Linked DNA regions of Diceros bicornis minor. The protein of the gene in region 4 interacts with the protein of the main gene of each other region in a pairwise test. Links are inferred from orthologs where the notes say so. Each region holds a gene or a part of one and is shown on either strand. Other genes may lie near its edges.

Region 1 (7,997 bases), on a different chromosome or scaffold from region 4:
GCCCTGCGAGATCTGGCCCTGCCTCCTTCTGGGACCATTTTTTGCCACTTTCTCTCTTTCTTTGTCGCTTCTGATCATTCTGCAGACACACAAAACTCATCTCTACTTTAGGCCCTTCGTACCTACTGGTCCCTCTTTCAGGAATTCTCCACTCTACCAAGCAAGTCCGTCTCTCACTTTTTTGCTTAAGTCCTACTCATCCTTCAGGTCTCAGCTGAGATGTTGTTTTCTCAGGGAAATGTTTCTTGACCCTCTCCCTACCCCTAAACCCATCCCCTATTTCGTTCTCCCTCATAGCATCTTTTACTTTTCCTGCATAGCACTTACCAAAATTGTGGTAAAATAATTTTTTTGTGTATTTAAAGCCCATCTTCCCAAGTAGTCAGAAACCTCCAGGAAAGCAGAAACTCATCTCTCTGTTGATCAGGGTTAGGCACATGGTGGGAGCTCAGTGCATAATTTTGAAGAGATGTAGGTACTCCTGAGTCTTGCGTGGATGTCCTGCCTCTCAAGTTTGACTAGATGTTTCTAGCTAGACGAGATGTTTTCTGGTTAACTGTCTCCTCGCATAGTGCCTGTACTGGGCTCCTATCACAGTTAAGTGCTGACCCTATGCTGTTAGAGAAAGAGAGATGAAAAAGAGAGGAGACCTCTGAGGGGGCTGATTGGAACTCAGATTGCACACTTCCTCGGAGAAAGATTTCTGGGCAGCAGGAGGCTATTTCTAGGCCCCAGGCCAGGGTGTTGAGAAATGCTTTCATTTTTCTGAGAGCTGCTGCCAGGAAGCAGAAAACTGATGAGTGACCTGTGAATGCTGCTCACATTCTGGGTGACTCAGAGTTTATGGTATTCTGGGGAAAACAGTGTTGATCAGAGGGATAGAACATCCATGTAGGGGCTTGGGCAAGAAGTCTGGTGAGAGGCCATCGAAAACCACAGTGGGATGGCCTCTCTTGCCATGCAATGCTGGGGCCGTTCAGCCTGAGTCAAGTTAGAGACCCCAAGCAAGCCCCTCATGGCTCCTCATTGTTTCCTCAGGCTCCCCAACCCTCTCTTAGAAGGTTGTTTCATAGCTGGCATGGCTTGTCTTACCCCTGAAAGTCATGAGGCCAAGTGTCCTATCCTTTTCTTTCTTTTGCATTTAAAAAAAATAATATTTTGTTATAAAAGCAATACATGAATACATTTATCTTCTAAAACATTAAAACTAAAGCTAATACTTCCTTTAAACATCACCCCCAATCTCAGTCCTTTATCCCTATCTTTAGAGATAATCTTTGATATGAGTTGGCATATAGCCTTACAATCTGTTTAAAAAATCTTTTACAAACTTAATGTGTGATTGTCTTAGTTCAGGCTGCCGTAACAGAATTCCATAGACTGGGTGGCCTATAAACAACAGAAATTTATTTCTCACAGTTCTAGAGGCTGGGAAGTCCAAGAGCAAGACACCAGCAGGTGAGGTGTCAGGTGAGGGCCTGCTTCCTGGTTCAGAGACAGCCGTCTTCTTACTATGTCCTCACAGGGCGGAAAGGGCTAGGATGCTCTCTGGGGTCTCTTTTATAAGGGCGCTAATTCCATTTATGAGGGCTCTGCCCTCATGACATAATCACCTCCCAAAAGCCCAACCTCCAAGTACCATCACACTGGGGATTAAGTTTCAACATATGAATTTAGAGGGAACATAAACATTATCTATAGCAGTGATAATAGGAAATAGTGGTATTTATGTCTGTGTTTTAACTTTTTACTTTGAAATAATTTTAGATTTACAGAAGAGTTGCAAAGATAGTATAGAGAGTTTCAGTATATCCTGCTCTCAGTCTCTCCTAATGTTAACAGCTTCTATAAGCCTAGTTCAATAATCAAAACTAAAAAATTAACATTGGTACAATACTATTAACTAAACTAGACTTCATTAGAACTTTACCAGTTTTTCCACTAATGTCTTTTTTCTGTTCCAGGATCACATCCAGGATCCCACATTGCATTTAGTTGTCTTGTCTCCTTAGTCTCCTCTGATCTGTGACGGTTCTCAGTCTTTCCTTGACTTTCAAGACCTTGACACTTTTGAAGAATCCAAGTTAGGTATTTTGTAGAATATCTCTCAATTTGGGTTTGTCTGATGATTTTTCGTGATTAGACTGAAGTTATGCATTTTGGGGAAGAATTTTTTTAAAATATCAAGACTATCTATATAGATCTATATAGATCTATATAGATATATAGATATATATATCATGCTGAAACTTGCTGTTTTCATTCAACAATATGATTTTGAGATAGATCTACATGAACATATAGATCAAGGTCACTTCTTTTAAAATCTCCACAGAATTCTATTATATGAGTATTCTACATTTTATTTAGCCATTCCTCTATTGGTGAGTATTCAGGCTGATTCCAAATTTTCTGTTAGCAATATTGTAGTAATTAACCTTGTACATACCTCCATATGCACATGGAGTTATGGTAGATAACTATAAGTGGCATTGCTGAGACATGGATTTAATAGATGTTGTCCAATTGCCCTCTAAACCTGCTGTGCCACTTTACATTCTTTTGATATTATTAAGCTTGAAAATTGTTGCCAATCTCAGTTTTAATTTTCATTTCCCTGGTTAATACTGAGGTTGGTCATCTTTTTGTGTGTTTATTGGCAATTTGTATTTCCTTTTCTATGAACTGCCTGTTTATATTTTTGCCTATTTTTCTAGTGGAGTTTTTTTTCCTCATTGATTTGTTGAGTCCTTTATATGTTCCAGATACAAATCCTTTGTTTTATATATTACAAATGTTTTTTCCTAGTCTGTTATCTCTTTTTTTTTTTTTAAAGATTTTATTTATTTATTTTTTCCCCCAGAGCCCCAGCAGATAGTTGTATGTCATAGCTGCACATCCTTCTAGTTGCTGTATGTGGGACGCGGCCTCAGCATGGCCGGAGAAGCGGTGCGTCGGTGCACGCCCGGGATCCGAACCCGGGCCGCCAGCAGCGGAGCGCGTGCACTTAACCGCTAAGCCACCGGGGCGGCCCTGTTATCTCTTAACTTTGTTTCCGATTGTTTTCTTTGTTCTATCTCTCAGATTTTTTGAATTATTTTTTTCTGACTTATTTTTTTGAAACAAAGTTCATGATTATAAAAGTAATATAAACAATGTAGAAACTCTGGGAAATTTATGGAAAAGTATAAAGAAGAAAAGAAACCACCCCAAGTCTGATCACTGAGAGAAAACCACTATTAACATACTCAGTACATATTCCCTTCTAGTCTTTTGTGTGTGCATGCACATTTTTGTGCTCAGTTGAGATCACACTGCATACATATATATATTATTTGCTCAGTGCCATGGTCTTTAGAAACAAACCTTGGCCTTTTCCCAAATGCACTTGGTTTAAAGGTGATGTTAGACTAACTTCCAACTCCTATTCCTTTTTTCCACATATCCTGAAAAATGTAGTACGTGAGAGGCCCATGGCCTGTCCTCTACTGACCTGAACTGAAGTTGGCTCAAAAACACAAGAGAGAGTACAAATGCTCCAGCAGAGCACTTATTAAAAAGTCTTAGAGGGGCTGGCCTGGTGGCGTAGCGGTTAAGTTCACGCACTCCCCTTCAGCAGCCCAGGGTTCGCCGGTTGGGATCCTGGGCGTGGACCTACTCACTGCTCATCAAGCCACGCTGAGATGGCGTCCCACATAAAAGAGCTACAACTCTACAACTATGATATACAACTATGTACTGGGGCATTGAGGAGAAAAAAGGAAAAAAAGAGGAAGATTGGCAACAGATGTTAGCACAGGGCCAATCTTCCTCAAAAAATAAAAGTCTTGGAGGTTTTAGTTGACTGCAAGCTCAATGAATCAATAGTGCCAAGGTGCCAAGAACCTTAGTGCATGAATGCAAGGCAATAAGTCCTATAAGGAGGAAGCTACAGTCCTGCTTTGCTCTGATGGTACCACAAACATTTGGTTCAGTCTTGGGTGACATACTCTAAAGGAGCCACAATCAAACCAACTAGGTACTTGAGGAGAATGAGGACAAAGACCCTCAAAACCAGGGCAAAGGAGGAACAATGGAAGGAATGGGAGATACTGGTCTCAAATAAGAGAAGACCTTAGGCAGAAGTCAAGTATCTGAAAAGTAGAAGTTGGAAGAGACATTAGACCTGGTTGTTCTCTGAGGCTCCAAGGGATAGGACTTGGGCCAGAGAGGGGAAGCTTCAGAAACACTTGCTAACTCGTCAGAAGCTGCTGAGACCAAGGAATGCATTGCTTCGTAAATAGTGGGCTTTCTGTCACTGAGGAGTCTTCTTTTAGACAGGAGTTGGTGGCGGGTGGGTGCCGGGTCCATACAGTAACTAACATTTATTGAGTACTATGTGCCAGGACTGTGCTGAGGACCTTCCCTCTATTTTATTTCATCCTGTCAACACTCTATGGGGTAGGAATTGGGTAGAATGAGGTCAGGTAACCTGCCTAAGGTCACACAATTTGTGAGTGGCAGAACTGGGATTCGAATCCGTTCTGACAAACTCCAAAGCCAGTACTTTCAGTCATCAATGGGATTCATGCGTCGTATGGGGGTCTGGACCAGAAGGGCCTTGAGGTCCGTTCGACTAGAAGATTCTGTGACTCGGAAAAATGATGTCCCCACCCCGCTAAGGGAAAGCGTCGGAGTGTAGGCGGAGAAGCAAGCGCGGTGAGGTAGTAACGGGCCTCGCGGAGGGGCCCGGGCAGGAGGCCAAGGGATGGAGACTTAAAGGACACGGAAGGGTTGTCAACGTGCGTCACCCCACAGCTCGACAACAACCGATGTTCTGTTGTTTGAAGATCCTCGCGCGAGGGACCGAGACGCAGGCCTGTATCGCGGCTCCCTTCTGGTAGCGCAGCCAGGGAGTGTCGCGGCGGCAGGGTTCTGCGGCGGAGCCGGGGGACGGAACGGCGCGCCGATCCCTGGCCGGGCGCGAGCGGGGGGCGGCGCCGGGGTGGCGGGGGCGGGGAAGGCGCGCGCCGGCGGCTGCGGCAGTTGCGCGCTGGGATTGCTGCCGTGCGGCGGGGTCGGTGAGTGCGGCGGGCCCTGCGGGTGGGGTGGAAGGAGCGGGCGAGCGAACGAGGGAGGGAGGGTGCGCGGCCGAGCGCGCGACCTGGGCAGGGGCCGCGGCCTGTCCCCGCTGCGGCCCCACCCGGCTGCTGCGCCCCTCAGGCCCCTCTCCTCCCTCCGGGCGCGTACCTGCGCGCCCGCGGACTCCGCGCCCGCGTCTCTGCACGCCCCGGGTCGCCCCCGCCTCAGAGCAGCCCCTTCCTGCGCGCCGCGGCGACGCCCCCAGCCCCACGTCACGCCCCCGCCATTGTTTCCCGCTGTGGGCTCGCTGGGACCCGCCTCATCCTAGGAACGCGGCCCTTCGCCTCCGCAGAGCCAGCCTCGCCGCGTTCCGCCCATTCCCCCGCCTTTCTCTTACGCTGGGGCAGCCCCCCTCCCGCCTCAGGCGGACACCCCTTTACTGAGGTCTGCGTGTTTTTTTCCGGCCGACTGCGGGCTTCCTGCGCTCCGCACCCGGGGCCCGCCTTTCTGCCCCTCCCATGGGCCTCCCCACCCCCTGCGTGTTCCCGGTACAGCGTGAGGAACTAGCGGGCGGCTGTGGTAGGATGCAACGGTGACAGCGGTTTAGCAGGAGCCACAGGAAATTGCCAACTTGATAGCCCACATGCCAGTTTTGTGTTTTCAGCGCTTTCTGGAAAACTCACGTGGAATTGCAAGCCTCACCCAAAAACCTGCTTGTTATTTCCAAATGGCTCTCGAGCTGACAGGGGTCAGCTGTCTGGTGGCAGTCTATTCCTTCCCTTTCCTTCTCCTGGGGACCCCTGAAGCCGGTGAGAGCCGAGAGTGATGCAGATCTGAGGCCTGAACCATTAGTTGTAAACAGAACGTTTGAGGGGTTTGACTCCGGTAGAGGTCAGCTCGGTGTCAGATTTAGTTTTCCCGTGCGTGTGTTGCGGGATGTAGGTAGAGTACAGCGCTCTGCAATGACTAGTCACCATTCTAGGGTAGTGTGTATGCGCGCGCATATGCGGGTCCGGATGCGGACAGGTTCTTCTGGATTGAACTGTACTTGTTTTATAACGTCTACACACTGTTCATTATGCTTCTTAAAGCAGCGGATGCAAACTCTGCTAACTGTAATGTGAAAGGGAGAATACTGAAACCATGGAAACGTAATGTTATTGAGGTCTTTTTAAATATTTGCCGCGACACTTCAACAATAGTTAGAATTTATCCAGATGAAGACATCCAGGCCTGAAGAGGTTAAGTTTAAGAAGACACAGCTAGTTAGTGGTTAGAACTCCACATGTTGGGTTGATGTTAACACACACAGACTTTATTTCTGAAATGCACTTCCATTGCAGTATAAGCCACTACTTTTCAGCAGTATAGGTTGGCGCATTTACTCTCGGTAATCTAAAATTTAGATTTTTGGAATTTAGTAATCAACTAATCTGTTAAATGAAAGGGCTGAAGGAGATGTTCTGCAACGTTTCATTCAGTTCTAAGATTTGATTCCGTTGTATGAAAATTTGCAATCAGCTACGAGTTTCCAAAAGTTTATAGTTGGAAGATTTATAGATATTTACGTATGGTATCTGCGAGCCGTGGTGGTGACATCAGGTGTATCTTCCTAAAGAAAGCCAAATTACAGTGGAATATTGAGGAGGGATGTCCATTCATCTGTTTCTAGTCTGTTTCTACTCTTTTATGGGGGAAGAAAGGAGCACACAAGACATGGTTTATGAAAAATAACTTCTTTTTATTCCTCAACTCGCTTACCAAAAAGCTTAAGTTAATGAAATTGTAAAAAAAAAAAAAAACAAAAAAAAACCCGACCTAATCATATTGTATTTATGACTGTGCTCTTTTCCAGTTCTTATCTAACCATAATTTTTATGTAGTTATAATTGCTGTTTAAAATTAACAACATATTGTTTTTAGTTTTGCACTTACCCACATTTCTGGAATGTTCATGTATCTAGAGAATTCATCTACTTTTCATTTGTAGAGACTGTGTAACATGCTTTTATGTCCAGTAGTCAACAATGCCTGGCACACAGGTCCTCAGTAAATTTTAGTTGAATGAATGTAGTATTTTGAACTACTTAGACAACATCTACAAACACAAAATGTTAAATATCACAGAGCATATGTTAAGTGACATGTGAGCAGTAAAGGCAGTCAGTCTTTGAGCCAGGAGACAGCATCACATATGTTTAAGGGCCTAGGTTTTGGAGTCTGGGTTTGGTTTGAGACCTGGCTTGCCACTTAACCATCCATGCAACCTTGGAGAACTTAACCGTAACTTAGAGAGTCTCATTCAGTTTCTCTCACCATGAAAAAGGGGAAAATAGAACACATTTCACGAGGTTGTGTGGATTAAATGGGATAATTCCGTTGAAGCACTACTGGCATATCTTAAGTTCTCTATAAATGTTAGCTATTACTGCTTTTGGTTCAGAGTGGAGAGATTACTGTATGTTGTGGGATCAGGGAAAACATAGAGAAGGTGACACTTCAGAGTAGGGAGAAGATGTGAAAGTGCGTATGTTGCGAGTTTAATGAATAGATTGCTCTCACTAAAACAAAGGGTTTGGTAGAGCCAATCGTGTGAGATAAAGCTAGGGAGAGTAATTCTGGTAAACTGTGTACAAGATATGCTACAGATAGAGCAGAATTAATGAAGTAAGATAGCTTTTTGTTTTTGAGTAGTTGGTGTTTGTTTTGTTTGTTTTTTAGGTTCAGACCTGAAAAATTATTGGCTTTAAAGAAGTTGATAGCAAATTGTTATGGAGTGCTAAGGTGTTTGTCATTTGACACAGTAAATCTTATGACTTTTTACCATTTGCAGTTCGATTGTGTTCTATGATTGGTTACCAAAGTTTGCAGTGGCTGTTTCTCCTTTTTTCTTTTCTTTTTATGGAAAACAACTTTAGCAGCAAACGAATAAAAAT
Region 2 (7,456 bases), on a different chromosome or scaffold from region 4:
ATCACCATCTTCACAAAGAAATCTGACTTCATATGCAATCCGATCCTTGAAGTGCAAGATGGCAGTAACACTGCAAACAAAGCTCCCGTTAAAAATCGCCTATATTTTCAGTCTTTCTCACAGTGAGGAGTTGTGAGAACAACCTCCTAGGCCAATGTGAGCTCCTAAAAGCTCAAGTAAGGAATCAGAAAAAAAAGCAAAGAGACAGGCAAAAGCAGATACATAAATGAAAGTTTTCAAACGGCTGCATTCGCCATCAGATGGCAATTCTTTATTTTAGGACACAGGCCGAGAGATATCCCTTCCCTCATTTACACCCCAAATGAAACTACGATGAAGGAGCATATCACCAAGGAAGAGCCTGACAAATAGGTACCTGTGTCTTAAATCACTTACCTACTCTTCCGTAACACCCAGAGGGAAGAGCTATCTGAATGTCGGTTTTCACAAGGGCTTTCTCCATAGGTGGTACTGTATAATCATAGGCACTAGGAAGACAGTGAAAGAAAATAACTGGTAGTTAGCTACAGCAATTCTCTGTGAATTTTTTGGGTGAACAAGGTGTTAACACATAAATGTATTCTCCCCCGAACAAAATTTTCTTGGGAAATTGAGGTAATTATTTAGCAGGAGAGGGTAGAAAGGCAGACTTTTAAAAGGTGTATGTTTCACCAGCATGGTATGAAAAGAGGGAGATAAAGAACCAAGAAAGAGTGTAAATAATTGTTAATAATAGCTAACATTCATTAAGCCCTGACCATGTGCCTGCCAGGCACAGCCCTAACTGCTTTCTATAACTCATTTCATTCTCACAATCCTCTAAGCGATTAGGGAAAATGTGGAGAAGGAAAGGGGAAAATGGGTGGACAACATAAGGGGAGGGAGAGCTGTGTTGCATCTGCTCTGCTGGTCTGGTAGTTTCCCAAGCTTACCACGCTGTGCCCATGAACCTCACTGGCTGAGGAAGAGAGGCGATCACTGAATCACTGGAGATGGACACTGCTGAGGAACCAATTCTCTAAGGTCCACCCAGCCAATGCTGCTACTGTTGCTATTACTGTAGCCCCCTCCTTGACAGAAATGTAAGAGATTTTACAAAAAGCAGAACTGGAAGTTACTGTGGAGACCCTAATTAAGACTAGTAAAAGCGGTACTATATTTTTACTTATTTTGTTAGAATTTTCTCCAAGTAGTTAAACCTAATTTTTTAAAAAGATCAAATTTAAAGATTTAAAAATACCTATTTCCATGTCTATTTCAGTATACAGAAAGGCACCTGTGTTTTATTAGGAGGATGCTTAAAGCACCTTAAATCGAAGTCTCAGGATCCTAAGACTCACAAAAGTGCCCAGATATGGTGTAATCAAGTTACATCACGCTACGTTTATTCATGAAAATTAAGGGACTGAACTATATCCCTTTCAGCTACAACAGCCTGTATCTCAATTTTCTCTTTCTTGTCTCCCTTACTATCATCACACTCCTTTCTCCCCTTCTCCTGTACTTATGACTTAGACCAGTAGTTCTCACATTAGAATTACCTAGGATGCTTTAAAATACACCCTAACACTCGGGATTTAGTCATGTAATAAACGTCCTCTCCCTCCATTATCACTTTTCACCTACCTTGATGCATCTAAGAACCGGGCACAGTAGTCAAGAGAAAAAAGCATTGAATTCAGAGTCAAAAACTCTATCTCAGGGGCCGGCCTGGTGGTGCAGCGGTTAGGTGTGGGCGCTCTGCTGCGGCGGCCCGAGGATTTGCAGGTTCGGATCCTGGGCGCACACCGATGCACCGCTTGTCAAGCCATGCTGTGGCGGCGTCCCATATAAAGTAGAGGAAGATGGGCACAGATGTTAGCTCAGGGCCAATCTTCCTCAGCAAAAAGAGGAGGATTGGTGATGGATGTTAGCTCAGGGCTGATCTTCCTCACCAAAAAGAACAAAACAAAAAAAACCTCTACTACATTCAAGCCCTTGGGCAATCAATTCAGCTTTTCCCAAACTCCCTAATCTGTAAAAAGTAAGCAACACTCATATACCTCAGGATTGTGGGGAGAATTAAATAAAATGGTATATGGGAAAGTTCTTAGTACAGGAAAAGGTGCCGTACAAACGAAAGGGTGGTAGTATTACCAACACCTCTGCTTTTCATATTTGGACCCTTCCTGAAATTCCCAGTCCTTGGGGCGAACTTGAATATGGACAGTTACAGAAATGTCACTAACCCTTTAAGGCAGAATCAGCCCTCATTACTCCTTCTGAGGTATTTTCACTCAGCCCCCAGGGTCCCACCGTGGCTTTTCTTTCTATTGGGCACAGCATCACGGTCAGGCCAGTCCTTGAAGGCCAAGGCGGGCCTTACTCATCTCCGCCCTCCACGTGGAAAGGGTACAATGAATGCTGCAAAACTAATAACGCCTCAGTGGACATTTATCGGTATTTATTTACCATTCCACACTTTTTGCCCAAATCCCTAATGAATTTATGCTGGAGGCAAGCTAAAATTATCTATACAAAAAAAGGGCAGAAACCCTGCATACATGCAAAAAGCGTTTGTTTCTGTCACCTTTGAAGAGAATGTTTCAAGTTGTGGCTGCAGAGGGCCTGAAAGTAAGCTAACAGGGCTGAGAGCTCTGTAACTCGGGAATTGGGCGTTCCCGCGGGGGGCAGGGATGGCAGGGGCAGAAGGCGGCCCTCTCAGCCTCTTCACCAGGCTGGCCTCCCTGGGGGGCGCAGGCGGCCGGCGGGCCTTACTCACCTGTACAGGTCATAGCCGGCGGCCCGCGCGGACCCCTTGGTCGGGGCAGTGGCATGCTCCGAGAGTCGGGTAAACCGGAGCCGCATGCCGCTCCCCTCTGCAGGCCGGGCCCGCTTGCTGGGGGTGATGGCGCGGGCCTCTTCAGAGCAGGGCATAGCAAAGGGAACAAGAGAGCGCAGCGTGAGCACAACCGCGGGAACACACAAACCTTTAAATTTCGCGCCAGTAACTCTCGCCCCACCCCCAACCGCCTCTTGGACGAACCCACAGTTGTGGCTGAGAGGGGAGGCGGGATTCAAATTAGGGGCTGGAAACCCTTCTCAGAAAGCAGATTTTGGGTGGGAAACTACCGAGCCTTTTTAACCTTTCCAAACTCAGCGCACGGGTCCAACGCAGGGGGGCAGCTTGGGTGCCCCCCCAAACACACACCATAGAAACCCCCCAGCCCCCTGAGGGAGCCCGAATGGACCGGCTCCCGCGCCCTATGGGCTGCGCGCCCTCCCAGCTTCCCCATCGCCCAAGCGCGGGGCGGGTCCGCTCTGTCGCCCGCCCCCTCCCAGAGCTCGAGGCAGGCGCGGGGACAGCGGCCGCGGTCGCAGCCTCCCCACGCCCTGGCATTGTGTTCCTCCAGCCCGGGCCCCAATGTTACTGGCACCGCGGCAGCCTCGGCTCCGGCTGCGAGCGCTGGACGGCGGCCGGGGCGCCCCGAGCAGCGAGGCGGGGGCGACGGGCGGGCCTGGCCGGGAGAGCCAAGCTTCCTGGGCTCTCGGCCGTGCCCCGCGCGCGTCTGTAAACACTGAGCGGAGCAATAGACGGAGCGGCGTCATTCGCCTCGAGGTTTGCCAGCTGGTTGGCTCGTCCCCTGCTGCAGGCGCGTGGCGTGTCTGCGTCCCAAAGACGTGCCCGGGTGAAGTGACCTCGGAAGCAGTAACGGCCGACGCCCGGGGGCGCGCGGAGGCGGTGCGTCGGCCGCCCTCGGACCGGAGCAGGCCGGGCCTCCGGGAGGGCGCTTTGTGTCCCGAATCTCGCCGCCGCCTCCGGCTGCCTCTGCCTCCCTCCCTCCCTCCCTCCCTGGACTCCCATCTGTTTTCTGGCCCCCGTTTTCTGAGACTACCCGCGAGACCCGGGCCCTGCCCCTCTGCTGATTTACCTGGCGCAGCGCCGCCCGCCGCCATGACTCCCCAGATTCTAATCTTTGGGTTCCCCAAAGCAGCGGAACCGCATCACGTTGCCGGTGACAGGCACTGCGCTCCGTGCTCCGCCCTAGGCAGCGGGCATGGCAACCTGTTCCATTTCCTTACTACACCGACACTGCAATACGGTGTATTGTTTACTCTTAAAGTGGGGCGGGGGGGTAGCGTCTTCCGGATAACCGCGATGACAACTCGGTTGAAATCCTAGCACTATTTCGGATCACCCCACAGAAGCACAGAGGGTGACCCCGTGGCTATGATTCGGACAAAGATGCTGGGCCACGCTGGTATAACTTCAAGTGGAGAAGAGGAAATAACTTTCTAGATAATTGTAAATTGGTTTTTCCAGGATATAAGTATCTCCAGAACTGACGCAAAACTCTGGAAACTAAATTGTAATGCACTTTATCTAAATAACAACCTATAGGGCAGTTTTAGAAAAGTGACAAAAATGTTAGGGAATTGTTGGGGAAGTTTTTAGACTTCCTTGCTGTGCCTTTCCTTTCAGGCCCCACCTTTTCAGTCTCTTACTCTTACATGTTAGAATTCCTCTAGATGAGGTTATGGGTTATGCTCTATTTACACATGGCTTTAAATATTATCTATACCTTAAGGACTCCCCAAATTTGTTTCTGTAGCGATATGATCTGGGCCCTGCTACTTCTCCAACCTCATCTAGAGCCATCTAAGTTTCTAGACCCACCAGACTTTGCTGCCTAGGAGTCTATACACATCCTTCCTTGGTGTAAGCTCCATGTGTTTCAAGTCTCAGCTCATCTCAGAAAGGCCTTCCCTGTATTTAACTGAAGTAGCTGCCCTGTCTTCCCCTCACCACCATTTTCCATCACAATAATTAATTTTTTTCTGTTCACACCGCTTATTACTACAATCTGTGCTTCCTTTATGTATTTATTTTCTTGTTCATTGTCTGTTTGCTCTAGTAGACATTAGCTCCATGACGGTAGGGACCGTATAGGTCTTCATTCACCGTTGTATTCCTGGGGCCTAGCTTAGTGCCTGGCTTAGAATGGTGCCTGATAAATATTTGTTATGTGAATGAATGATAGAGTTCTTATTGCCTATTCCACTAGGCCCCTGTATATGATTGCTTTTCAAAGTCTTGATTTTTCTGTCCACTCCTTTAATTTTTAATCAAAGGTTTTTTCTATATAATGCTTTTTCAAGGCCTACAATGAAACACAGCAGTCCCTGCCCTACCACTCCATCACTGCCCTACCCGAAGTCTCACTCCTCAGGAGCAATACTTCCAACTTTCTTTGGCTCTTTCTACTGGAATTTACCTCCCTGTTTCTAAATTATATGTTGCTTTTTTTAAAAAAAGGGCATAGAAATTATCTTCTGAATTAGAGTAGTTGAGGATTAAGCCTCTTACCCCTCTCTCTACCCCATTCTGCAAATTGTTTGTAATGGTTTTTGGATAAGTCGGCAGTTAGTATTTACTTTATCATGACTGTAAATATCATTCACTGCTGAATTAAGTAATGTGATATGATTATTTCCTTTTTTCACACTTGTCTGCCTCAAGTTAATAATTGCCTTGTTTTTCCCTTTTCTTTGTTAGTGATGGTGTTTTTAATTCGTCTATTGCTTGTTTTTTTCCAAATGCTCCAATGGATCCAATACCTCAAACATCTCTCACATCAAATGAAACACATCAAAACCCCTATCAGTTCCATTTTTCCCCTCCCTCTCTCCTCTAGTCTTTTGCTCCAATCTGTGCAGTAACCCTCCAGTCCTGCTGAATTACTGTCATCCTGGGACTTCCCTTTGTCCCTCTCTTGTATTGGAGCCCTGGTTTTATGGATCTAGTATCTTCAACTTGGTTTACTCCCTCATTTTGCTGAAGTGCTTTCTCTAGTAGTTTCCTAAGGAAGTTCACCTTATAGATAAATTGAGTCCTTGCATATCTTAAAATGTAATGACAGTAATGACTCCATTTACCCAGACCCAGATAAAAATCTCACTTCATTCATGTAACTCCTTTACAACCAGTAGTGAGCTCTGCCTTGTCTTATCTTATAACACTTACTATATCGTTCATTAGCCATATACTCCCATTGTGTAATTGTCTCATGTTAATAAGAGTTATAAACTTTTATGAATACTTCAAAGCACCTACTTCAGTGTTTTACACAAAAATTATTTATTTGGATCCTTATAATGTCTAGCACCAATAAAGTATTCAGCTATTTCTTCTGTTAATGTAGATACAGAAAGTGTTTATTATTGTTATTTTTCATCTGAGGTTGTTTTAGATTGAAAAGAGAAAAGGGCATAATCCAACTGGAAAAGAGTAAGAGGTTAGAGTTCTGAACCAGTAAGCATTTAATAGGACATTCATTATGACAATTGAAATATAACTTGATATGAAAATATACCTTAAATTCAAGATACTACAGTAAAAAAGAACTAGACATAATCCAACCATAGTTTATTTCATGCTGTTTCTTGATCAGAATATAATTATCGTATCAGTCATGCTGATTAGTTCAATTACGTAAGACTATTGCCAACTTGAACCTGTTGAGAATGCAAGTTGGTACTTTACAAGCAAAGTTGTCGCTCCTACCTTTGCCGTTGTAGGGCTTTTTCTCTCTCTTTTTTTAACAAGGACATGTTGATTACTTTATGCCAGCTGTGTTCTAAGTGCTTTATAAATACTAATTTATTTAATCACAACAACCAGAGGAAACAAGTGCCAAATTATCCCCATTATACAGATGGGGAAACCAAAGCACAGAGAGCTTAAATAATTTGTCCAAGATCACACAGCTCACAACTAGAAAGAGATGGAGTCAGCATTCAACTTCAGGTAGTCTGGCTTCAGATTCCCTGTACTTAGCCACTCTGGTCTGTAGGCTTATATGTGTTTGTTGAGACTATGGTAACTCTTCTGCCTACTGAGCCTGCTGCCAGCTGTGTTCTTCAGGTCTGGGAAAGATGTTTGCCGTAAATTAACCAGGCATTCCTAGATTCCCAGTTGATCATGCCCTCCTTGTTGAAACACTTCTTCAGCAGCCCACACCCTGGTTTTCCTCCTGCCTCACTGACTGCCTCTTCTCAGTCTCCTCTTCTCAACCTCTCTTCTTGCTCAAGACAGAAACCTTGGAGTCTTGCTTCCTCTCTCTTTCTCTCAGATCTTCCCTTATCTGAAAACAGTCTTCTCCCAGGCGCCACCTAATGCCTGACCCTATTTGATTTTCTTCACAGCATGTACTGCTACATGAAATTACTTATTTATTGGTTTTGCTTGTTAGTTGTATGTTTCCTCCACTAGCATGTAAGCTCCATGATAGACTTAACTTTATCTTAATTTGGATTCTTTCCAGATGTTCTGCATTTCTTTTTACCCATTCTTGCCTTCTTTTAAATTTTATAGTTTTATTATTAATTTTATTTTAATTAATTCTATTATTTCACTTTTCCCTCTACTAATTTAGAATTTTTACTCTCTGATTCTATTGTTTTAGATAAATTAAAA
Region 3 (6,960 bases), on a different chromosome or scaffold from region 4:
GGAGCAACACCTGTCCTGCATCTACTCAGCAGGAGCTACCACCAAGGCTGTCATCAGAAGACCTCCAAACCTAACCACCTCTCCCCAACATGGCCCCGCCATTTGTTTCCCCACAGCCGCCAGAGGGCGCCAGTGAGCACCTGAGTAGCCCTCAAGGCGGGTCACCTCCCCATCTCACCTCCTCCCATTCTCCTCTTCACTGGACCCCTAGCTGTTGCTTGACCTTCTTTGGGCACCTCAGAGCCTCTACGCTGGCTGTTCCCTCTGCTGGGAGCTCATCCCCGAGATAACCACATGGCCCGTGGGAGGCACCTCCTGAAATCCTCTGCTCACAGGTCACATTTCGCAGGAGAGCTGCTCGTTTTTGAACAGCACCCCTTTCTCTTGCCACCTCGTCATCCTTCATTTTTTCCATAGCAGTTACTGCCACCTGATGTGCATGTCACTTGTTTGCTGTCTGTCTCCCTGACGAGAACATCAGTCCCAAGAGGGCAGGGATCCAGGCCTGTCTAGTCACGGCTGTCTCCGTGGAGACATGGCACAGGCTGAACGCAAGGGCATGTCTGCAGGGCAGGGCCACGTACCGCCCCCGCTGGGGACCAGGCGCACGCTCATCCCGCTCACCATGAGGTTGGCGTTGGCGATGTGGTGCTTGACCACGCCCCCACCCAGGATGATCATCCCGGAACGCTTGGCGAAGATGGCCTGTGTGTTGATGAGCTTCAGGTCTGGGGGAAGAAGGCTGCGGTCAGGCCGCGGGCCCAGCAACCCTCCTCCCCCACTCCTCTGCAGCCCCAGCGCCTCACCCTCAACAATGTCCAGGACCAGGCCTGGGTTCTTGTAGGAATGGAAGAAGATCATGTCGCCTAGCGAGCCATCTGTAAGCGCCGGGCTCAACACGGGGATGTGGTTCTGGAGGGCAGGACAAGACAGCGGCCGGAGCTCAGAGCCTGGTGGAGGCAGCCTGGTCCCCACCACATGGGGGTTGCTAAGCACCACCCTGGCTGCTCCCAGGTGGCCTGGGAGTAGAGCCAGGATACCAGGACCACACTCGAGAGCTGTGGGACTTCAGACAAACTGCCTAACCTCTCTCTGTCTGACGTTCCTCATCTAAGAGTGGGGATGATGAGAATAGTACTGACTCCCCATATGGCTGTCAAGATAAAACCACACATGCCGAGGCCTGGCATCTTTGCCCTCACCCAGCCCCTCACCTTTTGGGCCCAGTAATACACCGACTCTGGGTTGTTGATCTCCTTGCCAAGCCGGGCGATCATCTTGGAAGGCGTCCACTTCACACCCTAGAAGGGGACATCAGCTTCAGCCAGCAGCACCTCCCCTGACTCCCACCATGCCAGCGCCCCCCCCCCCCCGGTTGCTCCAGCCCCACCTCTGTGTTCTGCTCCAACACCATCTGGTCCAGAATGGGCATCAGCCAGTCCTCAAACTTGCAGTAATTGTCATTGGGCACCAGCAGGTTTCCGATCCTGGAGACAGGAGGCATGTGGGCGTCAGGCCCCAGGACCCTCAGCCCAGCTCCCACACCCAGCACCACTCAGGGCGCCCCCCACCTGTTGATCCCGTTCTCACGTAGCTCCTTCCCCCTGAGGCTGAACTCGCCCAGGTACGTGGGTGCCAGGCACTTGATGAGATCCTCCTCCACGCCCCCAGCTGTAGTCACTAAGACGTCCACCTGCAGCCACAAGGCAGTGAGGTTGGCCCAGGAAGGGGAGCCCTGCCCTCATGCAGGGCAGGACTCCTAACTCCCAACCCTCCAGTGACCCTTGGGAGGTGCTCTGCCACAAAGCAAAACCCCATCCTGTCCCTCTGCTGACGCATATCTCCCTATCTCCCTTAAATGACCAATAATCTTACTGCCCATTAAGACCCAAAGAGGCCAAGGTCACAGCCCCACCGGGTGCCCACCATGTTGTGCTGCACGAGGTAACGGATGGTCTCACGGATGCCTGAACTGATGAGGTTGGAAGTGTAGCCCAGGAAAATGGTGCAGCCAGTGAGTGGGCGGCGGCTCTGGGTCAGGTCTGCATGCTGGTCCTCATCCTGCGACAGCGGCTCCAGTTTCTTCTCTATCTAGGTGTCAGAAGAAGGTCGAGTGAACTCCAAAGTCCAGCCCAAAAACTCCAGGTGGGTTTCAGCTCCGCCGCCAAGCCCTGCCCACTAGGGGATACAGGACCACGTCTACGAGGAACCAGGGAATGAACGCCCCTGTGCAGGCTCCGCCCCTTCACAGCCCGAATCTCAGGGCTCACGCTCAGGCTTTGCCCCGTTTCAGGAATCCGAGAGCATCACCTTTGGAGACCCGACCCCCTTTCCCGCTGGGAAGAGCAAATCCAACTCAGGCCCCGCCCTGATTTCGGCTCCTCCCCCAATTCCTCCCTCAACCACACGGTCTTGTCCCAGGCTCCGCCCACTCCACAGCACTTTCCCACGTTGCCTAAAACCTGCCCGGTACCTAGAATCAGTCTCCATACCCTCCGGATACTAGGATATACCTACTAGGGGGCAACGCCCCCTCCCCAGCACAGAAACTCCCGCCAGGGTAGGCCCCGCCCCTCTCCAACTACTGGACAGCCCAGCGAAGGGCACGCCTCCTTCTCCCGTGGAAGCTCCGCCCCCTGCAAGTACAGCATTGGCGCTACTGGAGGCCACGCCCCCGTCAACCCAAAAAGTCCCGCCCCAGGGCTCACCATGGCGTTGACTTGCTGCACCGCGCGCCCGAAGTTGGTGGCCTGGAAACCAGTGGTGCCGAAGGCCTCCAGCAGCGCTCGGTAGTCCACGCCGCGGTTGAAGTCGTAGCCCCGGACCTGGGCGCTCTCGGACGGCAGAGCCGAGCTGTGCTTCAGCACGGCGGCCAGCGCCGCCGCAGGCGCCTTCCCCTCCTGGGGACCCTCCATGCCCCTGCGATCGCACTCCCCGATCAGAGCCGCCCCAGGCCGGGCCTCCGGCGGCCTCGAGACGCACTAAGCCCTGGCACGCCCTTCTCCACGAGAGCGCAGGAAGTAGGGCTCTGGAAAACCTGCGGAGAGGGATCGGAAGTTGCCTAGTCACATGACCCTCTGATGCCCTTAGCCTGAGGGGGCGGCCATCTTTGCGCTCATGTTCCGTAATACGGAGGCCGCGAGGAGCCATGATTCCCTCTTTCGCGTGTTCTCAGCCTCAGATGAATGAAGATTCCTGCTTTTACTGCCGCCTGTTGGAGATCTACCGCGTTGCGCGGCGCTTGCCCGTTCTTTTCTGTCCCCTCCAGGAGAGAGGATGGGTTCTTAGATATCGCCCTTGGTCAGGATTTGAGTCGTCAGGCAGTGTCAGAGAGTTTCTGCCTCTGAGCACCTCTTGTCAATGGAATAGTGATCCCTGTTCGTGCCTCGCGTCTCCAGGGCCTCGACATGGGGCATAACCCTCTGGTCTTCCTTCTTCCGGCAGCTGCAGCTGTCACCTCCTTTGGGAAGCCTTCCCTGACATTCCTCTGGGTAAGGGATCTCTTCTGGGATCCAGGGCTGACATCTCTTTCCCTCCAGCAAGACTGAGATCCTTGGGGGTGAGGTGTGTATCTCATGGGTCCTCCTAACAGTGCACGGGATCTGGTCCATAGGGGACCCAATTAATCACTCACTCTACATTTATGGAGTCTGTACTATACGTTGGACCCTGAGCTGGGTGCTGCCGTTTAGCAGTGAATGAGGTGCTGACGCTGCCCCGCTGGGGCCTACAGTTTGGGGAAATAGAAATTTAACAACAGTGGTAACTGCTTTTCCGAATTTAAACAGGATGATGTAGAGTCTTGAGGGTGGAGGTGAATGGAGGGATTGGTGGCCTTAGTTGGAGGGACAGGTGGTTGGGGAAGGATATCAAGGAGGTGACATTTAAGCCAAGGCCAGAGCGCCAAGAAAGGCCCCTATGTGAAGATCTGGGGGAGGCCATTCCCCTGCCACCCCCCATTGGGAGAGAGAACAGCCAGTGCAAAGGCCCTGAGGCTGGAAATGAGCCTACTTAGTTGAAGGAGCAGAACATCCACTTGGATCTCAAACTCGCCATCTCAGTTCTCTCTCCACCTAACCCTGATCTCCCTGGAGTCTTCACATCTCAGCAGATAGCCCTACACTCCACTCATCTACGAGGGTGAAAACTGGGGAGTTGAGTTTGATGTCTCCCTTTCTGCACATGACATCCATCCCCCAACACGTCCACCAAGTTTTACCTAGAAGTTCTAGGTGCTTTTCTTCTTCTTTTTTTTAAATTAAGATATAATTGACAGAACATTATTTTAGTTTCAGGTGCACAGCATGATGATTCTGTATTTGCATCCAGGTGCTTTTCTTCATCCCCACGGCCTCCACGCTGGGCTTCCTTCCCTCCAGTCCCTTCCCCAGCTGTGTCCAGAGAGCTTGCGAAACAGCAGTCAGATGTGTCGTTCCTTGTTGAAACCTTCTAAGGGTGGCTTCCCGCTAGGAGTAAACTCCAGGCTCTTCACTGTGGCCTGTGAGGGCACTCCCTTCCCTGCCCTCATCTCCCACCACTTGCCCTCGCTCACTCCTCTCCAGCTACACCGACCCCTCGCTGTTCTAGAACCCACAAGCTATTTCCTGACCAAGGGACGAGGCACCTGCTGCTCTCTCTGCCTGGAACACCCGCTTCCCCTCCTCCTCCTCTGGGCCTCCGTCCAAATGTCACCTCCTCCAGGAGGCCTGCCCTGACCACCCACACTCGCCCTTACCTTGCTTTGGTTGTCTTTCATAGCACTTCATACGTTGTGTTTGGTGTTGTCCGTCCCTCCCTGACTGGCAGCCCCATGAGGGCAGGATTAGGTCTGGCTTCACTGCTATTTCTTTTACTCTGCAGTGCCGGGCACATATTGGAATCTTGCAAATACGCTGAATAACTGAACGAATGAATGAATGCACACAGGGGCCTCGGGGTGATCCAGGAAGAATGAAGGAGGGAGAGGCTGGTTAGAAATGAATTCAGGGGCCGGCCAGGTGGCGTAGCAGTTAAGTGCGCGCGCTCCACTGCAGGGGCCCGAGGTTCGGATCCCGGGCGCGCACCGATGCACCGCTTGTCAGGCCATGCTGTGGCAGCGTCCCGTATAAAGTGGAGGAAGTTGGGCACGGATGTTAGCTCAGGGTCAGTCTTCCTCAGTAAAAAGAGGAGGATTGGCAACAGATGTTAGCTCAGGGCTGATCTTCCTCACAAGGAAAAAAACAAAGAAATGAATTCAGACCAGGCAGAAGGTGCCAGACCATGCAGGACCCTGGGGGCTGTAGTAAGGAGGGTGGGCTTTATTCTAAGTGGCTGGGAGGGGCCGGCCCGGTGGCACAGGGGTTAAGTGCATGCATTCCGCTGGGGTGGCCCAGGGTTCACAGGTTCGGATCCCGGGCGCGCACCAACGCACTGCTTGTCAAGCCATGCTGTGGCAGTGTCCCATATAAGGTAGAGGAAGATGGACACAGATGTTAGCCCAGCGCCAATCTTCCTCAGCAAAAAAAAAAAGAGGATTGGCATTGGATGTTAGCTCAGGGCTAGTCTTCCTCACAAAAATAAATAAATAAATAAGTGGCTGGGAGACCACTGGAGAGGTTTAAAAAGGGCCTGAGAGACTCTGATTTTTTTTTCCAATTTTTTTTATTGCAGTAAAATATACATAACAAAATTCACCACCATAACCATTTTTAAGCGCACGGTTCAGTGGTATTTCGAACATTCACATTGTTGTGCAACTGCCTCCATCCACAGAACTTTTCATCATCCCAGACAGAAACTCTGTCCCCCTCAAACATGACCTGTTCCCCTCTCCCCAGCACCCACCGTTCTACTTCTCGTTGCTACACATGTGACCCCTCTAGCGACTTCATATGAGTGGAATCATATATTATCTGTCATTTTGTTTCTGGCTTATTTCACTGAGCATAATGTCTTCCAGTTTCATCCATGTTATGATGTGATTTATTTTCTATCAGATGCCACTGGCTGCCTTGAGGAGAACGGGGAAGGGTGGGCGGGACAGGGGAGACGAGGGCGGAGGCTATTGCTCTGGTCCAGGGGAGCGGAGAGGGTGGGGCGGTGGGCCCAAGGTGGTACCAACAGGGCTCGAGAGAAGTGACTAGATTGAGAACCTAATCTGAAGGTTGATCTAATGGGTTTTTTTTCACTGAGGTCACACTGGTTTAGAACACTGTGTAAATTTCAGGTGTACATTATATTTCAGCTTCTGTATAGACTGCACAGTGTTCACCACCCAAAGTCTAGTTTCCATTGATGGCTCTTGAGAAAGGACTAGCTGTGGGGATACTGGAGAGAGAAATGAAGGAGTTGGAGATTTAGGCCAGGGCAGTTGGGTGGTGGTGGTGTATTTGGGGGCAGAGGGTCTGGGGGGAGGTCATCTGGAGCCCAGCTTTAGCCTAATTCGGTGCGAGTCGCCCGAGAGATGAGTGTGGTGGATGGAGGAGGGAGGAGGGGCCTCGGGTGGCTCTGAGGTCAGGGACCGGGCCCTGCCCATTGTGATTTGGACACCACTCTCCTTTGAGAGCGAAGGGGCAGAGGATGCCGTCAGCATAGGCGAGTAGACTGCGCCGTCTGCGGATGAGATCCCCAGGGAGGTGAGGGGAGAGAAGAGGAGAGGCAGGGCTGTGCCCGGGGCGGGGCCCACTCCACACACTGGTGGGACAGAGGCTGGCAAAGGAGGAGTGTTGGGGCAGGTTAGCAGGGGACCAAGCAGGTGAGTGGGAGGCCAGGGTCCCGCACTCCCCGGGGGAAGGTGACACGTGACACCAGGGCAGCCACTGGGCCTCCTGCGGCAGAGACCCCCTTGGCTGAGGCAGCTGCTGCCACCACCACTGGTGACATTTCACTCCATGAGGTCCTGGCTTCAAAGTCTCTGCGGAGGGGAGGAGGGAGTTGGAGAGGCTGGGCCGGTGCGGGGAGGGAGTCAGAGTGGGGCGCTGG
Region 4 (7,426 bases):
CCCCATCTCTCCTGTCGGACCTCACCTGGAGCACCCGGAGGGTGGCCCAAGAGAGCCCTTGCCCAGCCGTCTGCCCTCAGTGTCCCAGGCCCACCACCCCGCCCTGGACTGAACATGCTGCCCGACTGCTGCCAGCCCTTCCCCACCCCAGGGCCCTCTGGTGTGGCTCTGCCCGCTCCCCTGCCCTTGTCCATCTCAGCCCAGCACGCTCCGACCCTTGTTATACCCAATTGTTTCTGCGGTGGTTCAGGGGATGTTTTTTTATGAAATAAAATTTTTTATTATAAATGTAATATACTTTCAGAACATTCAGGAAATAAGAAAAAAATCACCTGTAAGCCCACTTCCACTCACCCCCAACCCAACCACTATTAGTATTTGGTGTACTTCCTTCTAGCATTTTCTCCAAGGAGCTGACTTACGCACAGTTGAGCCGGTGTGTTTGTACTTGGTTCTTCCTTTAACACTGTGTTGTGATCATTTGCTGTGTTGCTACCTGACTTTCATTTTAAACAGCTGCTTATATTCCATAAGTGGCTTTCCTGTGATTTATGTAATCATCCCCCATTAAAAAAAAAAAATTAGGTTTCTTCATTGTTTGCAAAGCTGGGTTATTTTCATTTTTTGATGGGATAGAAAAAAAAGAAAAAAGAAAAAATTAAGGACCTGCTACACTTCACCGTGCCGCTGTTTCCATCTAACTGATCTCCTTTCTCCCCTTATCATTATGTTGAGGTAGATACCATTTATTTCCATTTTACAGAAGAAGAAACAGTCAGGCAGGGATTAAGTGAGTCACCCAAGGTCACACAGCAATTTTAGTGGCAAAATTGGGATTTGGACCAAGTTTCCTGCGTCGAGCCACCTCATTTACAGTATCGTCTTCCTGCTTAATGGACTCTGCAGACGGGCCTGCTGGCCTCTCTGTCCTCCTCCTTCCAAAGGAGGCACTACACAGCTGGTCAGGTTCCAAGTGGCCCTGAGTGACCCATCCCTACCCACACTTCACCTTACAGAGCTATGTCCTGGTGTCACCCCAGAACTCCAAACATGGGGTCCTTCCTGTGGGAAGATGGGGATGGCCCAGTCACTGCACCTCTCTCTTCCCCACAAGACCTCTCTGCTGCCTCCCCTTGCATGGTGGGTCACAGCACCCTCGAGGGCACACTGCAAACATCAGGTGGACCAAATGTTCCAGGACTGGACCTGGTAATGAAGCCAGTCCCGGTGGGGACTGACCCTCAGGCTCAGCTTGGGGCACTTGGTGGCATTCTTCCTCATGGAGGCACGACTGGCTCCCCGCCGTCCAGCCTGCCCCTCGGGCCTCTGCTTCTCCCAGCACCCCCGCTGTCCACCTTCAGCTCCAGCCCCTCTCACCGGCCTGGATATCACAGAGGCGCATCCCTCAGAGCTAGACGTGACCTCAGGGTGGGTATGTCCAACGCTGCCTTCTTCTTATAAAGTACATTTTTTAGACCTTTTATTTAGAAATGATTTTAGATTTACAGTCAAATCACAAAGAAGTACAGAAGGTTCCCAATTACCCTTCATCCAGGTTCCTCTCCTGTTAACATCTTACATACCACAGCACAGAGATCAAAACTGAGACATTGATATCGATGCAACACTGTTAACTAGGCGAGGGACTTTACTGGGATTTCGCCAGTTTTCCACTCATGTCCTTGTCCTGTTTCAGGATCCACCAGTGCCTGCATTTTACAGATGGCCTAGAGGGTAGATGGGGTTCCCCCAAGGTCACTCACACAGCCAGCTTGTGGCGGCAGAGCGCAGGCTGAAGCTAGACTCCTTTCCCTTGCACATTGGGCTACTGCGCTCGTCACTCTTCCTGCTTCGTCAGGGGCCAGGGCTTGCTGCTCCGTAAGCGACTCCAGCTCACAGACACTTGTGCCTCATGCTGTCCGCCAGCCCCTGACCCTGTTCCCAAGGTTGCCTACACTGCCCTCCTGCACATGTGCTCACTCGCACACGCGTGTCCCCAGGCCCTGGCACGGCTGGCTCAGGCTTCGCTCCCGTGGGTGCTGGGAGTGGTACTGCGTGGTCCACCAGTTCAGCCACTCCTGTCCACCGCCTGCGCGGCCACCCCCAAAGCCAGTGCACGTCCCTCTCTGGGAATGGAGGACGCAGAGCAAACTTGACGGAGGCCTTCCTTTGTTTCTGGTTCTGGAGGTTTCTATCGCAGCTTCTCCCCACTCCAGCTTTTCCTGTTCTGTCTCAGGCACTCTTGTCTCAGTGTGGTATGTGTGATCCTCCACTGCCTTGAGAAGGTCTACTTTCTGTCGTCTCCCTCAGCGCTCCGGCAAAGGCTAGGCACACCCCTCGAGGCCCCTCTGCCTGTGCAGCCCTGCACAGTTTACAAGTGGCTTTCATGTCGCCTCATGTGCAGGATCACCACTTAAGAGAAGAGGAGCGCTTTTCCAGTGACGGGGGGAGTGGAGCCGCCGTTTATTGCCTCTTTGCTCTTCCGGGCAGGCAAGCTGTCTGCTGTTCATCTTAGGCTGCCTCTGAGGCTCTCAGAGCCCTGTCCAGACATGACCTCACTCCCTCTCAAATCATCCCCAGGAGGCAGAAAGGAGTCTGGGACCAATGCTGTCCCCACTTCACAGATGGGAAAACCGAGGGACACACACACACAGCAAATGCACTGACAAGTTGCTCTGCAGTCCTGCGGTCCTGACCTTCAGCCCTGTGAGTTCAGTTGTTTTGGGAGGTGAGAGGTGTTGGATAGGGTTGGAGTCAGCAATGTTCACCAAGTGCCTCAAAAGAGTGTCGGCCCACGGGGGATACCCCCAGCCTAATACCAGCCCTGCCTCCAGGGACTTGCAGTCAGTTCAGTACGTGAAAAGGGCCTGAAGGGGCTGACCCGGTGTGGCTGGAATTACTGAGAGTACAGTCTAGTTCCACGGCGGCCCTGCAGGCAGATTTCAAGAAAGTGGGTCTTTGTGTGGTAGCAACAAGTGCCGTGGCTAGAAAGGCCCAGCCTGGAGGGTTGCTGGGCTGCCTGGTGATGGACCCATGCTGGACAGTCCACAGAGCTCCTCCTGTGATGTCTCATCTTCCCAACAACCGTGGGAAGGAACAGCTGTTATGAACCTACTCTACAGATGAGGAAGCTGAGACCCACAACTTGCCCAGGGCACAGAGACAGCCAGGGAGCAGTTGCCAGGCAGCTGGCCCCAAGTCCAATGCTTTGCTCCACAAGCTGCTGTCCCCCAGAAGGGAGGTGCACAAAGCCAGAGAGAAATGAGGGACCTAACAGGATGAGAAAGCCAGACTTTGCTGGCTTAACAGTTTCACTCCAGCTGGCCCTGCCTTCCTGTCCTGAGCAGAGGTTAAAGGAAACTGCGGAGGAAAGGTCAGGCTGGGAGAGAAGCAGGAGCTCGCCAAAACAACCCACACCCTGCTCTCAATGCGCCAGGCCTGCAAACTAGGTGTAGGGGCAGCAAAGAGAAAGGAGCAGGACCGCCCTGCCCTACAAACGCTCTCAGCCCGCAGGGGAGAGGGCCCGAAAACTGCGTGGGAAATGCAGCGGGCAGGGGGCCGGAACACCGACGACGCAGGGCTGGGCCTGTGGATTCCAGGCCCTCTCTCTGCCCCAAATCCCCTCCTCCCATCGCCAGCCACACCCTGACCATCCCAGGCCCGCTCCTTCCCTCCTCTGAGCGCCTATCACACCCCTGCCCAAACCCATCGTTTAGCACTTGGCTTATTAACCCTCAGATGACTTTTTATTGTATGTCAAGGTCCACCTCCCCGACTAGATCAGAATCTCCTCTAAGGCAGAAGCTTGTCCTCCCTGTCACTGTGACATTGAGTACATTTTTGTGAAGGAAGAAGGTTATCTGAGAAGTGATCATTTCGGGCAATGCAGTGGTATGTTTAGGACAGAAGTTGGACAGCGGACCCAAGCCGCCGCCCCAGGCCTCCGCGACGTCATCGGGCTTGTGACGTCACTGTCGTTGGCCTCGGCGGCGCTCCGCAGCCTGCAGGCGGGATGACGTCACCGTCGGAACCGGTGCAGACGAGTGCGCGCTGGAAGAATCAGCGAGGCTGGCGGCTGGAGATGGCCGGGGAGGGAGCGGGTAGGGAGCGACCGACAGAAAGCAGAAGCCGAGCCGAGTCCACTCTCCCCGGGCCGCGCGCCTGCCCCACAGTACGGCCTGGCTCCGCCCCGCCCCGCCCGACGCGGGCCAGCCAATCCGGGCGGGCGGCGGACACGCGCAGCCTGTCAGCGGCGGGCTCGCGGGCGCTTCCGCGTTCGCCTACGCCGGCCTGCTCTCGGGGAGGGGGCGCGGGCGGCCGGCCGAGCGCTCGTCCACGTCCCGCCCCGCCCCGCCCCGCCCCGCCCCGCCCCGCCCCGCCCCGCCCGGCCGGCGGTCTGCAGGCCCGGGCGGCCGCTCCCAGGGGACCGATGGCTTCGGAGGGCCTGGCAGGGGCGCTGGCGGCGGTGCTGGCGGGCCGGGGCCTGCGCGTGCAGGGCTGTGACTCGGGGCCGGCCGGGGAGCCCCTGGCGCCGGCGCGGCTGCGGAAGAACGTCTGCTACGTGGTGCTGGCGGTGTTCCTCAATGAGCAGGTGAGCGTCCGCCGCCGGCCGCCGCCCGGGCCCCGCAGCGCGCAGCTCGCCGGCGGGCCAGAGGACCCCCCCCCCCCCCCCCCCCGGCCACGCCACCGCCTTCTCGTGGGTGGCGCTTCCCAGTTTTGCAAAGCACTCTCACTTACGCACACATCTTGTGAGGCCCAGCCCTGCGATTGTTCCCTTATACAGAGGAGGAAACTGAGGCCCGGAAGCCTTTTTGTCCCATCCCACTAGGCCTCAGTTCCTTGAGGGGAGGGCTGTCTTATTTTTATTCCTCTTCCTTTCCCCAGAATCTAGCGCAGTGCCCCCTGCGGAGTGGGCTCTCAAAGATCTGTCCAGTGCTTCAGAGACTCCCCTGGGTCCCATGGACAGTAATGGCACAACCCGCGCTTACGCTCAGACTTTCTGACCACCTTGTGATGCTCTTTTTGGTGCTGATCCCTGTACAAGTTGCTGGAACAACAAACAGCTAGACGGGGCCAGGGCCATAAGTAGGAGTTGTATGGGTAGGGGCTGGGGGCGCGTTCCAAAGGCTAGACCCCAGTGTGGGGACCAGCCGCAAGCAGTTTGTAAACCACGGGGGAGGTGAGAGATACACAGTGACACATGCAGACACAAATCTGTGCAGGACACATGGCAGCCTCACTGTGGGGCCTGATTCCCAGCCCCTGAAGCAGCTCCCAGGAGTCCCAGCCCCTTTCTGAGATGGAAGTCTGAATGCAAAGAGGGATGAATTGCAGAGAGAGACAGCTGCAGCTCCCAGCCACACAAGGGCCAGTCCCCTGGAGAACTCAACAATTTGAGGGTGTCCACTGGGAGGGGGTTATTGGGCGACTGTATCTGAGATACAATCCGGCCCCAGGGCAAGGGAAGGCTGCTGGCTGTGCTGCTCCTCTGGAATCCCCAGCCTGGCTGTGGTGGGGTTGAGGATCCTCTCTCTCCCCTCAGGATGAGGTGCTACTGATCCAGGAGGCCAAGAAAGAGTGCCGTGGGTCGTGGTACCTACCCGCAGGGAGAATGGAGCCCGGGGAGACCATCGTGGAGGCGCTGCAGCGGGAGGTGAAGGAGGAGGCCGGGCTGCACTGCGAGCCCCTGACATTGCTGTCTGTGGAGGAGCGGGGCACTGCCTGGATCCGCTTTGTGTTCCTCGCTCGCCCCACAGGTACGGCCCAACAGGGGGCAATTGACACCTTTCCCCCAGCATGTCTACCGGTGAGATGAGCCCCTATTCTGGCTGATAGAAGCCTGGCATCTCCAGATTCCAGCCTGAGGACTTGACTGGGCTCCCCGCTCCCCTGGGTCAGAGCTAGAATGCCTGGGTGGCATTTGCTCTGCCAGGCCCAGCACTTCTCTCAACATAGACCCTTCCCCCACCCCATGCCCCACATCTCCCCCAGGTGGAATTCTCAAAACTTCTGAGGAGGCAGATGCAGAATCCCTGCAGGCTGGCTGGTACCCACGAACCTCCCTGCCCACTCCGCTGCGGGCCCATGACATTCTGCACCTGGTAGAGCTAGCTGCCCAGTATCGCCAGCAAGCCAGGCATCCTCTTGTTCTGCCCCAAGAGCTTCCCTGCAGTCTGGTCTGCCAGCGGCTCGTGGCTACCTTTACCAGTGTCCAGACAGTGTGGGTGCTGGTGGGCACAGTGGGGATGCCTCACCTGCCCATCACTGCCTGTGGCTTCACCCCCATGGAGCAGAGAGGTGGCATCAAGATGGCTGTCCTGCGGCTGCTGCAGGAGTGTCTGACCCTGCACCACTTGGCAGTGGAGACCAAGGGGCTGCTTGGACTGCAGCACCTGGGAAAAGACCATACAGATGGCGTCTGCCTGGATGTGCTGGTGACAGTGGCTTTTCGCAATCCAGGCATCCAAAACGAGCCCCCGAAGGTGCGGGGTGAGAGCTTCTTTTGGTGGAAGGTGATGGAGGAAGACCTACAAAGCCAGCTCTTACAGAGGCTTCAGGAATCATCTGTCGTGCCAGTCAACAGATAGGAAGGTGCCGTCACTGGGCAAGGAGCTGGGCATCTGTGCTCCTCTCCGCCACGGCTTTGCCTCCCTCTGAGGAAGGCAGGAGGTTGGCAGTCAGGGATCTTGTTGCATTGGGAGCAGGGTAGTTCTCCTGGCTCTCAGGGGCACTTCCATCTCTCCTCACTGTGGAGCAGGTCCCTACATTGTACGAAAAGAGACAGTGCCTTTCACCAAGCAAGGAGTCCAGAGCTCAAGGACCCAATTGCCCTGAGGGCACTACTCCCTAAGGGGATGTGAGAACTTTCTGAACCTGAGATGGCATCTACTCATCATCTTCTGTGCCCACCCGCCTTGGTAAAGCTCCACATCTGGGGTCTCAGGCACTTAAGACATGGAGAGGATGCTGGGGGAGGTCTTTCCAAGGGAGTGGGCCCCTTGCTGAGTAAATAGGTGTTCCTTACTTTGCCTTCCCGCCTAAATGTCTCTGTGGGGAAGAAGTGAGCAGGCAGGGGTACTGAAAAGCTCCTCCCCTTGTCCCACCAACAGCTATTCAGGCCTTCCCAGGTGGCAAGCTGCCATGCAGGTGATGGGGCAGGCAGGCTTCCTGCCCCAGCCCCCTGCGGCTCCCTTCGTCTTGCCTGCCAAGGAGGGATGTGAGCACGTCCTCAGAGAAAACAGAACTCTAGTCCCTCCAAGGTTTGAGCAGTGAGGCCAGGAGAAGCTTCCAGTGGGCAAGGAGCGGTGAGAGCTGCCCCTGCCTCTCTGCTGGAGTCTCTCTCCTTGAGCTTCTCCCATGATCCCTTCCCAGTCACTCTGCCAGCCCCCAGGCTCCTGCTTCTGCCTTTCTACAACTCCAGCTCAAG

Evidence for each region.
Region 1: the proteins of NUDT18 (region 4) and NT5C2 interact in binary tests that used the Homo sapiens proteins (3 or more experiments, as listed by UniProt). The two-hybrid records come from large-scale screens. The link is inferred for Diceros bicornis minor from reciprocal best matches to the Homo sapiens genes NUDT18 and NT5C2.
Region 2: the proteins of NUDT18 (region 4) and DUT interact in binary tests that used the Homo sapiens proteins (3 or more experiments, as listed by UniProt). The two-hybrid records come from large-scale screens. The link is inferred for Diceros bicornis minor from reciprocal best matches to the Homo sapiens genes NUDT18 and DUT.
Region 3: the proteins of NUDT18 (region 4) and DHPS interact in binary tests that used the Homo sapiens proteins (3 or more experiments, as listed by UniProt). The two-hybrid records come from large-scale screens. The link is inferred for Diceros bicornis minor from reciprocal best matches to the Homo sapiens genes NUDT18 and DHPS.

The regions. Positions count from the first base shown.
Region 1 is NC_080745.1:68,104,760-68,112,756, reverse strand, and holds the start of NT5C2 (cytosolic purine 5'-nucleotidase), read left to right. Parts: upstream 1-4,997; 5' UTR 4,998-5,060; intron 5,061-7,997. UniProt on the Homo sapiens protein: Broad specificity cytosolic 5'-nucleotidase that catalyzes the dephosphorylation of 6-hydroxypurine nucleoside 5'-monophosphates.
Region 2 is NC_080744.1:44,889,655-44,897,110, reverse strand, and holds the start of DUT (deoxyuridine 5'-triphosphate nucleotidohydrolase, mitochondrial), read right to left. Parts: upstream 3,018-7,456; 5' UTR 2,917-3,017; coding exon 2,762-2,916; intron 489-2,761; coding exon 397-488; intron 1-396. UniProt on the Homo sapiens protein: Catalyzes the cleavage of 2'-deoxyuridine 5'-triphosphate (dUTP) into 2'-deoxyuridine 5'-monophosphate (dUMP) and inorganic pyrophosphate and through its action efficiently prevents uracil misincorporation into DNA and at the same time provides dUMP, the substrate for de novo thymidylate biosynthesis.
Region 3 is NC_080769.1:4,634,895-4,641,854, reverse strand, and holds the start of DHPS (deoxyhypusine synthase), read right to left. Parts: upstream 3,018-6,960; 5' UTR 2,916-3,017; coding exon 2,709-2,915; intron 2,146-2,708; coding exon of another isoform or gene 2,092-2,145; coding exon 1,927-2,091; intron 1,694-1,926; coding exon 1,572-1,693; intron 1,488-1,571; coding exon 1,391-1,487; intron 1,302-1,390; coding exon 1,215-1,301; intron 913-1,214; coding exon 807-912; intron 729-806; coding exon 625-728; intron 1-624. Other genes in the region: GNG14 (putative guanine nucleotide-binding protein G(I)/G(S)/G(O) subunit gamma-14), read left to right, coding at 2,047-2,145. UniProt on the Homo sapiens protein: Catalyzes the NAD-dependent oxidative cleavage of spermidine and the subsequent transfer of the butylamine moiety of spermidine to the epsilon-amino group of a critical lysine residue of the eIF-5A precursor protein to form the intermediate deoxyhypusine residue.
Region 4 is NC_080750.1:71,743,408-71,750,833, forward strand, and holds the start of NUDT18 (8-oxo-dGDP phosphatase NUDT18), read left to right. Parts: upstream 1-4,418; 5' UTR 4,419-4,429; coding exon 4,430-4,591; intron 4,592-5,542; coding exon 5,543-5,756; intron 5,757-5,991; coding exon 5,992-6,587; 3' UTR 6,588-7,426. UniProt on the Homo sapiens protein: Mediates the hydrolysis of oxidized nucleoside diphosphate derivatives. Hydrolyzes 8-oxo-7,8-dihydroguanine (8-oxo-Gua)-containing deoxyribo- and ribonucleoside diphosphates to the monophosphates. Hydrolyzes 8-oxo-dGDP and 8-oxo-GDP with the same efficiencies.